2 linked regions of the Drosophila melanogaster genome follow. The gene in region 1 interacts genetically with each later gene. Each region holds a gene or a part of one and is shown on either strand. Other genes may lie near its edges.

Region 1 (7,509 bases):
TCGAAATGACTCTTTCTTTTTTTTTCATAAGATGAACATATCTGCCAGCTTCCATATACCATAATGTAAATTATGTAAATAATGACTGGCGCTTTAAGTGGGTAATTTAACACACCACTTAACGATTTAATAACTATTTTATGGCCAACGTCGCGAGAAGAGCGAGGAGAAATGGAAATTCAATTCGAGTTCAGTTTACAAGAAAGTCCATTTGGCCAAGAGAGCAACAGACCCACATGTCGAACGCGGCCTTAACTCACTTATTGATGGTCAAAACGGCGAGCTGCCCACATCTACAATTCATATCTGGAAATCACCCTGAGGATGTGTATATATGCCATATATATACAGATAACTGAACTTTCATTATTCATTGCTTTGACAATTAGCGCGGATGCTAAAGATGTTGCAATGAAGGCCTCGATTTGCGGATCGTGATCCATCTCCGATGAAGTGGTGACGCACTTCGGACTTGGTTATTTCGGCCCAGCATCCATGGGGTTTCCCAAGAGTATGAGAAATCGGTGGAAAAAACTGAAGACTACTTTGCATATCCGCCAAAAATGTAGTGAACTTCAGCGCGATTCGCTGAAGGGCAAAGAAATTCGGTTTTGTGCATCATTGAAAGCAAACATCAAACATATAATTTTTTTTTAGCAAAGTTTTTATAAATTTTTTTATACTTTTTTTGTGGGTGTTTTTTTGTTTGTTTGTGGTGTAATTGTAAGATATAAACTGAAAGTAAAGCAGGCAGCGCGATCTTAAAATTTTAAATTTAGCCCCGTCTCTTTCCTGGGCACTCTCTCTAGCTCTCTCGCTCTTATTGCCTGACTGCAAGCGCTTCTTAATATTTTTAAACATTGATTTTAAAAATACAAAATTCGTGTTCTTGTTTTCGTTTTGTTTACTTTATACATTCTGCTACTTTTGACTTTAGATAATTTTATTTTTTATAAAACAAAAGAATTTCCATTTGCTTTCTATGCTCGTTGGCTTTGTTGCTGTTGTTGATCTGTTTGTTGTTGTTATTTATTTATTATGAAATATATAGATTTATAAAGAATTGCATACACAATGGTTGTTGTTCTTGGTATCTGCGGCCGCCGATCTTCGTGTTGGCCAAATCAATTTGAGATATTCGTTTACAATTAGTAGAGTTCTCCATCTCGTCGTCGTCTCCATCTTCCTCCGCTGCTGGTGTGGATTTGGTATAATGGGACTGTTGGCCAACTTAGTAGCCAGCCAATTCGGCGAATGTGGAGTCCATCTCGTCGGCCAGGGACTTGTACCTGTCCTTGTTGATGCCCAACTCGTCTGCGGAGTGCAAATGGTGGTTGGAAATGCGTTAGAAAATATTCAAAAATATGGTTTTTTAACATTGGAATTGAAACGAAAAACACTCAAACTTTACACCATGTGTACCAAGTTTATGGAGTTATTGATTAGGATTAGTGGCGCGCTGTTCTGGCAGGCGTTTCTATCTTTTGATCTTTTGGGTTAGTCAGCGGTTCTGTGCGTGGGTTTTCAGGGGAGGTGGGGGACAGGACTATCTATGGGGTGCTCTACGGGATGTGGACATGATCTATCCAACCAATCGTTGCAGCAATCCTTGAGAGAATCCCTCGACCAAGGCCTGGGCGAAATTGGCTCGAACGAAAGCCACTGATGATCGACGAGACGATAGAGAGAGAGAGAGAGAGAGAGACATAGAGACATAGACTGAGATAGAGTGCGAAGGCGAGACGGGTCAAGAGGTCATGCCACATCACAACGGGTAAGAATCTGGCATACAAACAACAATATTTACATTGATAAATTCACCTGTATTAACTACAGTTGCAACTTGGTTTGGCTTGATCTGAACTTATTTTTACAGTGTACTGGCGTAGGGAACTGGTCGTGTGGGTGTGGCCACATTCAAGCGGGACTAAACAGATTATTTACAGTGTATAGATAAGTGTGGCGTGTTGGGCTGGGTGGTAAATACACTGAAACTGTTGGGGGAATCGTTCCAAAAATATAATATAGAATATATATATATATATATAATAAACTGTGTGGGATTCGGGATGTACTGAGAGTGTTCCTTTTTTTGGGGGAGTTGGGCAAGGGGCGGTTGGGGGGGGGGGGAGGCAAGGGCATTGTGTGAGTTCTGTTTGTGATCTTTTTTAATATCCAGTAAGTTCGGCAAATGTCTGGTCCAAATCGTCGCAGATTGCTTTGTATTTTTCCTTCTCATTGAAGAGACGGTCTGCAAAAAGCATTTGTTTGTTGTTCATTTATACAAATATATATATAGAGAGATATTCAAAAAAAAGGGCGAGCGAGCGAGATGTGTGAATGTGGAACGTCAATTAATGAAAGCAGAGTACTAAGTACAATTATTAATATCCTTATGGCGATAAATACAATGCGAGCATTAGTTGAAGCCAGCGATCCGGCCGTTCGAGGCGGATCACTTCCGGTGGACAGCATCTCCGGTGTCCCGTGGAGAGATACCTCCGCGGAAAATGGCTGAGTGAATGTGCCAGGGGCGTAGGAAGTTGGATACATACCCTCTAGCCTGTCGACCTCCTTCTGCAGGCGCTTCACTTGCTTCTCGGCGTGCTCGGCGCGCTGCTCGGCCTCCTTCAACTTGATGGACAGGGTCTTCATCTCGCGCTTGAACTCCTCCACGCGCTGGTTGGCCTTCTCCTCGGACACCTCCAGGGACTTCAGGGAGTTGCCGACAACCTAGTTGGGAATACACCATGAATAGTGGTTTGAGAACAGAAGGATTTCTCTTGAGGACCCACCTTCAGCTCCTCCTCCAGCTCCATGATCTTGGACTCGCCGGAGCGGACACGATCCTCAGCCACCTCCAGCTCGTCTTCAACGAAGGCCAGCTTGCGGGAGACCTCGTCGGACTTGGTATCGGCATCCTCAGCCAGCATGCGGGCCTCCTTCAACTGGTTGGTCAGCTGGTCCATGCGCTCCTCATCCTGCTGGGAACGGTTCTCCAGCACCTTGCACATGCGGTTGTTCTCATCGGCCGACTGGGTGGCCTCCAGCAGCTTCTGTTGGGCGGTGGTCGAGCGCTCCTCGGACTTCTCCAGATCCTCCTCAATCTGTTGCACCTTGCGGTTCTGGGTGGCCACCTCGGACTCGGTGGCGGTCAGGAGTTTCTCCTTCTCCTCCAGCTCGGTGTTGGCCTTCTCCAGCTGCTCCTTGGCGGTAACCAGATCGATCTCCACCTGGACGAACTTCTTCTCCAGATCGCGCACCTCCTCGTTCAGTTTGTCGGCGCGGGAGTTGGCATCCTTGGCTTGGTTCTCGCAGGTGTCGGCCTTGTCAATGGCGTTATCCTTCTCAAGCTTCATCGCTTGCATCTTCTTCTTGATGGCGTCCATGGTGTTTGTGTTTTTGTTTTTGACTTACAAGGGAAGAAAACTGGAAAAAAGCACTGTGCCAAATAATACAAATGAGTAAGCTGAATAACTGAATCCTTAATGTGCAATTTTTAAGGAGCAATTTTCATAAGGCATAGAATATTATATATACTATAATATAATAATAATAATATTATATAATTAATAAAATGTATGACTTTTTTATTTAAATCTAATTGTAGCTTTGAACCGCTTAATAATATATTATAACATATATACGTTGGTCCTAAGATATTCCAATGTTTATTTCCTTTCATAAATTACAGATTTTTTGAACTTGGATTTTTCTTTTGACTATACATTTTTGTTTCTTTACTGTGACTTCTAGAATTTTTATGTTTCCGCTGCAAGACAAAATCGGTTTATTTAAACGATCCAGGCGCATTCTATAGGTTATCCATAGGTATAATTAAATTGTATATATCTATATGCTGTGCATATGTGTTCGTGCAATAAATTTGAGAATTAAATGTAAACACATTTTGTTTGGCGGCTACGCCGAGCATTCTCAAAAGATCTCACGTAATTTTCATTTTCCATTTTCAAAACGCCCACTCAAAATCCGAATCCGGATCCGTCGGTGAGCTATATGTTTATATGTTTATTTGCTGCACGATTCGGTGGGGTTAAAAATAAACTTTATATGCTTTTGCATGTGAGAAAAAAATATCCAGTCCACTCGCACACACACGCATAGGAGAAATGCTTTTTTGGACATTGTGTGCTAAATGTAATTCTAGAGTTTCCCCCTATTATTTCGAAATACCCCACATATATATGTACATAGCTCGCCACCGATTGCAATTTGAAAAGTATTCAATTCTTTGGGGTCATTTGGTGTGTGGGCGTATTCGTATTCGAATTCGTGTATCTATGTTGCTACCACCCAAAGTGGGGCAAAGTCATTTATGTTGTAGTTGCTGATCTTTTGGAGGTCTTGCGATACTCATGTGTGTTTTGTACCCAAAAAAACATAAGCAATGTTTAATATGTGATTTATGAGGTAAAAAGGATTTCTTTCTAAAGACTTTAAATAACTTATAATATGTTAAATAGCTACTTAGTTTTCACATCATTAAAATTTTTGGTGATTGCCAAAGGTACTTGGGCTTTCAATCAGTTCGAATATGTATCTTAAAGATGGCAAATTTTGCGGCCTTCGGACGCATTCACGAATGGCTAGAAATATTCGCTCTGAAATCTACAATTCTGTGTGGGTGGCTATGCCTTGAATATATATATTCCCAGATAGATACCATATGTATCCGCATCTGGGAATCGTCTACGTCTCTAATATTTTCCAAAATATCTCTCTCGAAAACAATCTCAAGGATAAATACCTATAGTTCTCGACTGCCTTCGTTTTCTGAGATCACAGAAAGCTAGACGGAAAAGCTTTTTCGTATAAATTTCAGGCAGAGTTAAAAATAAATGCGTATGTCTGTGTGTGTGTGACAGGCAGGTGTCTGTCTGCAGTTAATTTTAAAGAATTTTCTTCGAGGAAAACTTTATCGGTCGAGTGTGATTGTGTGTGTGAAAATTGTGCGTGCCATAAGTGTGTAAGGTGCATATGTATATGTGTCCCATTCGTGTAGAGCTTTCCGAATGAAGCTCATGTGTGTGTGTGCAAAAAAAAATTCTCTCACACACACACAGATATTTATTGGATGGTATTGGTGCCGTCAGATTTAGTTACAAAATTCCTTATAAGCGAATTTTGAAAATATCCGAAAAATGATCATAAGATCTCCATTTTCAAGTAGTTTAGATCGTTCATTTTAAGTTTTTTAGAGATATTCATTTTTTTAGTTATAGCAATTTTCACTTCCATTACATTTGGATCACTCATTTAACTTTTTGTAGAACTTTATATCCAGGCTAATTGACACATATACATATGCACATTTTATTTAAGTTTAACAAGGTTTTCCTTTTTTTTCCCGTTTGGGGAAAATTCAAAATTTATAATTTTGAATGCCATGCACTTATCACAATTTTGTTATCCACTCGAAATCCAGTTGAAAATACCAATTTGGTTAGCAGCAAAGGCGAGCGATTTAATTATATTTATTTTGAGTTAATTCTTGTCGGGTGAAAATCCTGGCGTGACCAACCTTAGCGTTTCAAACACACTATACGCTGTCGAAACCCCGAGAACACTGATGCTGACCAAGTTGCTTAGCCCAGAAAGCGACCCCAAGATCCAACGCACACGCACACTGCCACTCGGAAAATCGGAAAAACTCACACACACTGAGGGCACACACCAACGCGGTATTGAATAATTTCTCGCCTCAAAAATTTCCCATTAATAAATGTATATGTGGAATGGCGCTTTCGCAACTTTGCTCGGCGATCTCGAAAATTTCCCTCGAAATTTCCCCCAAAAGCTGCTTCATACGATGCTCTCTCTTTTGGGCTGCATTCTCGTGAAATTTATGCGCTTTTCTTTCTGCTTCTTAAATCTAAATTCAATTTATATTTTACTCACAGCACTCTCGCTGTCTGTGTGTGTGCGTGTATCCGTCAGATACACGGCCAAAAATAGCCACAAGCAGCAAGAGCAAAAGTCCAACAAGATGAAAATCTATTTTCGCTCGGTAAAAAAATATTGAGAAATATTTGGAATTTTGATCGGCCAGCGTTTTCCTGCCGTTCTTTTGCTTTCGAAAGTCTCGAATGCAAGGCAATTGATCCGATTTTCTTGTGTGTTAATTGTCCCCGTTCGATTTTTTGCTAAAACAAAACCACTTAACTTACTATATAACTGAAGAATAAAATCTATAATTTATTTATTTTAATAACCAATTAAGTAACGATATGGAAAAATTGTTATCAAAACTCTAAACTAAGAAATTCTATAGATATATGTATATTTTTATATAGGTATATTTAAAAGATAAATATATATGGTGGGTTTTATTTATATGTCCGACCTCGCTAAATCCATTTAGCAATTCATCTCAAAATCCAGTTCAATTTTCTTCTTCTTTCAATATTTCTGTGACGTAACATCTTCTTTAATACTATTATATATCAAGAAGATTCCACCAAATGTCTCATAGTCTCTGGATTACACTTATATGTACTCCCGATCTTTTTATTCTCGTTCAGCAATAAATTTTACTTAAAAGCCAAACCTACATAAGTCAATAATATTGTGCACTTTATTTATAGACTTTTATAACTTCAAATTTTAGTTGATTTATAGCTCTTCTTGATTTAGGAAAATGTTTGAAACTTCATATTTTCAAAACTGTTCAAAAACAACTAATTGGCGAGCAAACGTATTCAGTTTTCAAATTCGATTTTTCAAAACCCTTCTTCTTTAAGCTTATTTTAAACTTTTTTTATATATGTAGCTCCAAAGAATATTTAATGTTGAGTTAAAATATCACACATGTGACAAATATGGTTATTCCAACACAAATAAAAACATCCTATAAGTTTTGGGATATAAGCATGATTTGATTTTGATTTCAATATTAACTTTTAATAAGGATACACAATATTCCGGCAGATTGAAACCAACAGGACACTTTATGTCCTTTATATTCGATTCATGATCAGTGCATATTTTTATTATTTAACTAATGCAACCCACCGTTTAAATAAAAAATCCATGAAATTTTTTATATGCAAAAGAATGATTTCAGTTTATTGATCGTAAAAATATTGAGTTGAAAAAGAAAAATACATACATTGTTATATTTGTTTTGCACGCTTCATAGAATTACAAAAGCTATGACAAATGTGTAAATTTAATTTATATGTCTTCGTTTATATATTCTAATAATATATCTCCTATTCTTGTTGTTTAAACATATACAAAGGCCATAGAAATTTTGTAGATACACTTCGCGAACTGCCATAAAAACACACAAGCAACAGAAAGTTGAGAAAAATTGACTCTGGCTTAAGCGTAACTGAGTTTTTTATTTGAAGATGCTGATTAACGATATTGAGTGGTGGGCTTTCTGGGGTTTTGTATTCAAAATATTACACATACTTTTTCGAGCTGGAATTTTAGTTTCAAGGAAAATGGCAGCGTTTCTTTTCGTTACACAACTCGTTTTAACTT
Region 2 (5,291 bases), on another chromosome or scaffold:
ATGCTTTCTAGTGAAATTGAAAACTCATTTAAACAGCCGAAAATAAACAAATTGAAGACGACGCGGCCGTGGGCAAAATTTCACTTTCAACCAATGTTTTTAAACACCTTCTCTGTACTTTAGGATTTCGTCAGCTCAAGCTCAAAAATGATATGGATATGATTTTACAAGATTTCGGGCGGAGGCAGACTTGATGAAGTAGGAGCATCTGCGATTAGCTGGAAATGGAAAAGGGGCTGGGCAGAGGTTGTGCCTGGAGATAGGGGCGAACCAAATCAGATTAGCCAGGGAAATGAAGTGGGTTCTTTGAGTGATTACGAACTGCCTCATGCTCACGTTTTCTTGGCCCATCGACAAAAAGCTGCTAATGGGAAATTATGTCTGGCTGCATCACATAATGGCCAAGTAATTGCGATCGAAGCGTGGTGGCTTTCGGATGAGTTGGCACAACACCCATAAAAAGCCCTTCGAGTAGCAAATGGGAGATGGGAAATGGGAGAGTCGATTCGATTTGGCTCGGGCTGTGAGGATTGCATTAATCAATAGGGAGACTACCACTCCGACTACCTATGACTATGACGGATTCCTACTAATTTGCTTCTCGCCGTTCTCCTCTTTTCCACTTGCAGCCAAAGACTAATCCCAACAACGAAGCCAATTAGCAACAACAGGTGAGTAAGAAGTCATTGAAGACGGTTCGCTGCCGAGGAGGCAGTTGGTAAATGTTCGATAGGTCTAGAAAATCGGAAAATGAGTGCGCTTTACAGCCCATAAATATAAGTATGATACATCATTGAATAGTCGCTCTTCTATTTTCAACGATCAAAATTTAGACGTGGTAGAAGATGGTTACACCATCAAATTGGTTTTAAAATAATAATAGCATTTGCCTCTTCAACTGTTAAGGGTATCAAAAAGCTAAAAAAAAAAGGCGCGAATATCCAGCCAAAACAGCTAAAGAACGGATGGCCACCTCATGCCGTCGACTCCAAATTGAATGACCGTCAGCATTCGGTATTTGGCCAATGATCGTCGGTATAAGACAACAACATTGGCTCTAATAAGGACCGTTACATAAAAAAAAGAGATGATGAGAATCGTTGCTGAAAATCGGGAAGTGGAGATAGAGGGGCAGAGGCGGTGTTTTTACACGGCGGTATTGCCATGATATTTTATTTTTTGCATGACACTTGCAAAATCGAAACAAAAGAGAGGGAATAACAAACTTTACTTGTGACGACCTTAAATTGTTTTTGACTTTGACTTCGACTCTGGCGGCTTTGAGCCCACAATTGCCAAAGTTACCGGTGAACATGGCTATGTGCATGTTGCCGAACAACTTATCGAGCGGACTAACAATTGTCTGTTGTGTGCGGCTGATTTGCCAGAGCTAATTAAGTTGTTCGATAGACAGTTCGGCTGTCCAATTGTTTCTTGGCTTGGTTTCATGCTTCCAACTCCTTTACATTGGTCGGCTAGTTGTCTCCTTTCGAAGTTAAACTATCACTGGTTGGATTGCATTTGGGAATGAATCGCAGGTGGTATTCCAGTATCGTGGACCTTAGGCTCCGCTTGGTCTTCTAAATGCTCGTAGCAGTAAGCTCTTCGTTTCACACCCATAATTACCTCGATATCTCTTCAAGTGTCTCAGCCCTTGTGATTTCATAAATACCCCAGGAATGCACCCCGCACGCACATGGAAATGCAGCACCTTCCACCACCCACTATCCACCAAGGCGGCCCCAATCCGCGAGCCAAGGCGAGCGGTGTGCGGGCGGGAGTGCGACTGAGACTGGGACACAGTGGGGTCTGCGGCATTAGGCACAGAATAGGCTCAGAGCCCGCTTTCTGCCGTCGACCGGTTTCGCGTTCGCGTTGGAGCCCGCTCCGGCTCTCGGGCTCTCTGCTGGCACCTGTCGCTGCCACTCTGTCTTGGCCAACTTCTTCGGCTTGCCGCGGCGACGTGCTCGTGCTCGTCGTGTTGCTTTTGGCCAAGTCGCCGCTGCCGTGGGCACGTCTTGAGCGGCGAGCGTTCAATGCGCTGCCAGCCGTCGATAAGAACGCACGCGAGCGGGTCAAGTCATCCGGCAGACAGAGACCGGCTATGGAAAGCAAAACCTAAGGCTATAGGCTATATAGAAGTCGAACTGATTAAATCGGAAATTGGAAATACGCGCGCGCGTGTGCTTTTCGCAAAGCGAACGAACACTGTTTGAATACACTTTGTATGTCAATTTAAAATTTTTTTTTTCTTCGGATTAATTTTTTTTTGCATCAAGTGAATTGGCAATGAGCAGTGCGTGATGTGCGAATTGGTGCTGCATCCCAGTCCGCGGCAGAAGAGACTTGCAACGCTATAGTTATAGTTTTTGAATTCGAATTCCAGTGCTACAGAGCAGTATCATTATGTCGAGCATGAATCAAATGAGTGTCCTCATGGATAAGATCAACACGGTGAGTGCCAAGGGATTCTCTGGGCTTTTGGGGGCGTTAGTGGGTCTCTGGGTCGATCCACTTAAACCTGCCAAAGAGTGGACCTTTACACGAATTCGGTTCGGTTGTTTCGTTAAATTGAATCGCTTTTTGTGCAACCCAGTAAAATGGTGTGAAAACTATTTGCTACACTGTCGCCTCGAATACTTTGTACATTTAATACATCTATTGTTATATTCATAAACTATTTTGTTTGGTTAGGAAGTCTGTCTAGCTTCTGTGCTTTTACTTCGCAACCCCTTTTGCAATTTCGAAGAAAAGTTATTGGCTGAAGGGTAAGTCCCTCTTAACTGCTTTGGTTTCGTCACGCAGTTCCCTGCTGCACCTCTAAGGTTTTCCACCTGCTGTCTGTGAGCCTCGTATCGAGGGGGGGGGGCGAAGTAGATGAGGGGCAGGGAAAAGGGGGAATAGGCAGCGAGAGTCCGCTCTCACTTGACCAACAATTTAACGTCATTTGCATTCAAAAGTGTCGCCTAGACGCTCATAAATAAAATGAAATTGAAATTTTTGCGCCTCACTTTTCCCAGTCCCCCTTCTCCGATCGCCGATCCCCGATCCCCGATGCTCGGATGCCCGATGTCCGATGCCCGGGTACTCGACGTATTTTGATTGTGTGGAAATGAAAGTGAAATGCGCTCCAGCGAAATTAAGTGCCCATTGGCCGCCATCCCGCAATCCACCAATTCCCCCGCTCACTTCGCCCCTGATTTAAGTGCGGCTGAATGAGCTTCAATTGAATGAGCTGACGAAATGCCGCGCGCCGCATAACAAACATAAAACAAAAATCAAACGAAAAACAAACAAGTGGCCGACGTCCAATTCGGCAAATTATATGGCGGGATGGGATCGGTATTGGAGGTACCGAAAGTACTCGAGGTGCACTGCAGCCAGGCGTCTGCTGTTTGTGCAACAATAATTAATTAGTAATAATTTTCGGTTGCCTTCTTGTGTGCGAGTGTAGAAATGCCGATGGGGGGTAAGAGTTGGGCAATCTGAACGGTCGAGCCTCTGCTGGATCCTCTCAAGACCCATCCCATGCTATCCCATTCTCGCACTCTCGACCAGCACTTATTGGTTGCGATGAATGAAGCAGCTCCTGGCTTGGATTCGGCATGAAATTAGAAGACTGCAACTGCAATAGCTTTATAGCAACCCAGCTGACTGAAGTCCATCGAAATGTATGTATGGCTTTGGAAAGGAAAAAGAACAAATACTGCACAGCATAGCAATGGCATTTATCGCATATTTTACACCAACTCAACTGACACAACACCTCTATGCTGGTTGGGAAATGTCATAATACCACTTGTCTGTCCTACGCTCTACTTGTGTGGGTTTTCAATGACTTGTAGCTCCACTTCGGGCTGCGCTGAGTTTACTTCCTGGCGACACACTGACGCCTAGAGGGAGTTGGGCAACGGGAAGGGGCAGGGAATGGGGGCTATCATAATTCGCGATTGGAGGGATTATCCCCAACGAATGACCAATAATTAACGGCAAGTTCCGTTGTGACGTCAACTACCGCAATCTGCGCTAGAATTCCATTGAGCTTTCTCCACGAAATGCGCAGGTTGCATAATCTGCATCTGCATCAGCATCTGCATCTCGGCCAACTGTTTGCTTCTGCATCTGCAACTGCAACTGCCGCCAAACCCGCTCGCGAACTGGTTCGTCTGGCCTGTGGCCGCCTTATTTATGACGCAAGCCGCTGGCGGATTCTAGGCTCTAGGCTAGCTAGGCCAGACTGACATTGGCCTAGCCCACGGAGTAGTTCGAGGCGATACGGGGGCATTCAGCAGACGGACTCGATTCTCACGAGCACTGGAGCTGGAATGTGGGCCAAGTCATTGGATGGATAGTTAAATTATCTCAACCGGTGGCTTCACACTTGCTCACCTCCAATTACCTGCTATTTATATGTGGCACTTTCAGCTTGAGGCTGCAAGGCCTGCTAGTATTTCTTGGGCTATGCCAAAGTCTGCTACAAAAAAAAAAATATATCTATTGCATTATAGTGTATTTATAGTGTATGAAATAATAATATGGCATAGTCCGTAATCCGAACCCTAGACAAATCCAGACAGACCGCCAAGGTCTCCGGCCACCCGTCTCCTCGATTGTGGTGACCGCATCACAGAAAGTTGATTCCCGATAACGGATTGATATCACTACCTAGACACGGGAAGCTCTGACCCATATAGCCATATAACCCTATAGCAATTGGGCATAGGCCTGGCCGCACACGAACACTTTATACATTTTCGGAGCCCATATACGGAAGCCGTGCAATGCTAATGAATCGCTGCGAAAGCAACCGAAACCAGGCACCACCAGCACATGACCAAAACTAGACTGGGAAAAGTGTGTAATAATTTCCTGTCTCAGCCTGATTTGCATGTGAAGTCCCCACTCCAGCTCGATTTAATCCACTTGGACTTGGATTCGGATTCGGAGACCGCTGCTCTCCAATCCAATCCAATCCAATCCAATGCAATTCACTCTACTCCACTCCAGCTGGCCGTCTTGTTTGACTTACTTCATCATTCCTAATGGCAATAGATACCAAAGTATCTGCATGTAATGCGATCCATTTGCGGGCCACCTACGCTCCGAAACTTTCCAGAGTTTGTCAGAGATTTGAATTGAAATTTATGCGGACATGAATTAGCCGCCGCTGACCCGACTAATCAACTGGAAAAGCATAATTCCTTTGTTTTCGCCTTTTTTTTTCCGAGTGAAAGTGCCCATCTGACAGCTGATAACGCATTTGTTCGTGGATCGGATGTGGATGGGATGTC

Evidence for each region.
Region 2: of Tm2 (region 1) and DAAM, changing one enhances a phenotype caused by changing the other (phenotypic enhancement), as found in Drosophila melanogaster (one study listed by BioGRID).

The regions. Positions count from the first base shown.
Region 1 is NT_033777.3:15,308,333-15,315,841, reverse strand, and holds Tm2 (tropomyosin 2), read right to left. Parts: upstream 5,598-7,509; 5' UTR 5,543-5,597; intron 5,166-5,542; exon of another isoform or gene 4,769-5,165; intron 3,808-4,768; exon of another isoform or gene 3,648-3,807; intron 3,467-3,647; exon of another isoform or gene 3,443-3,466; 5' UTR 3,390-3,442; coding exon 2,796-3,389; intron 2,734-2,795; coding exon 2,556-2,733; intron 2,252-2,555; coding exon 2,169-2,251; 3' UTR 1,822-2,168; intron 1,315-1,821; coding exon of another isoform or gene 1,232-1,314; 3' UTR 645-1,231; downstream 1-644. UniProt on the Drosophila melanogaster protein: Tropomyosin, in association with the troponin complex, plays a central role in the calcium dependent regulation of muscle contraction. May also regulate motor systems required to maintain nuclear integrity and apico-basal polarity during embryogenesis.
Region 2 is NC_004354.4:1,305,239-1,310,529, reverse strand, and holds the start of DAAM (dishevelled associated activator of morphogenesis), read left to right. Parts: upstream 1-2,057; 5' UTR 2,058-2,406; coding exon 2,407-2,454; intron 2,455-5,291.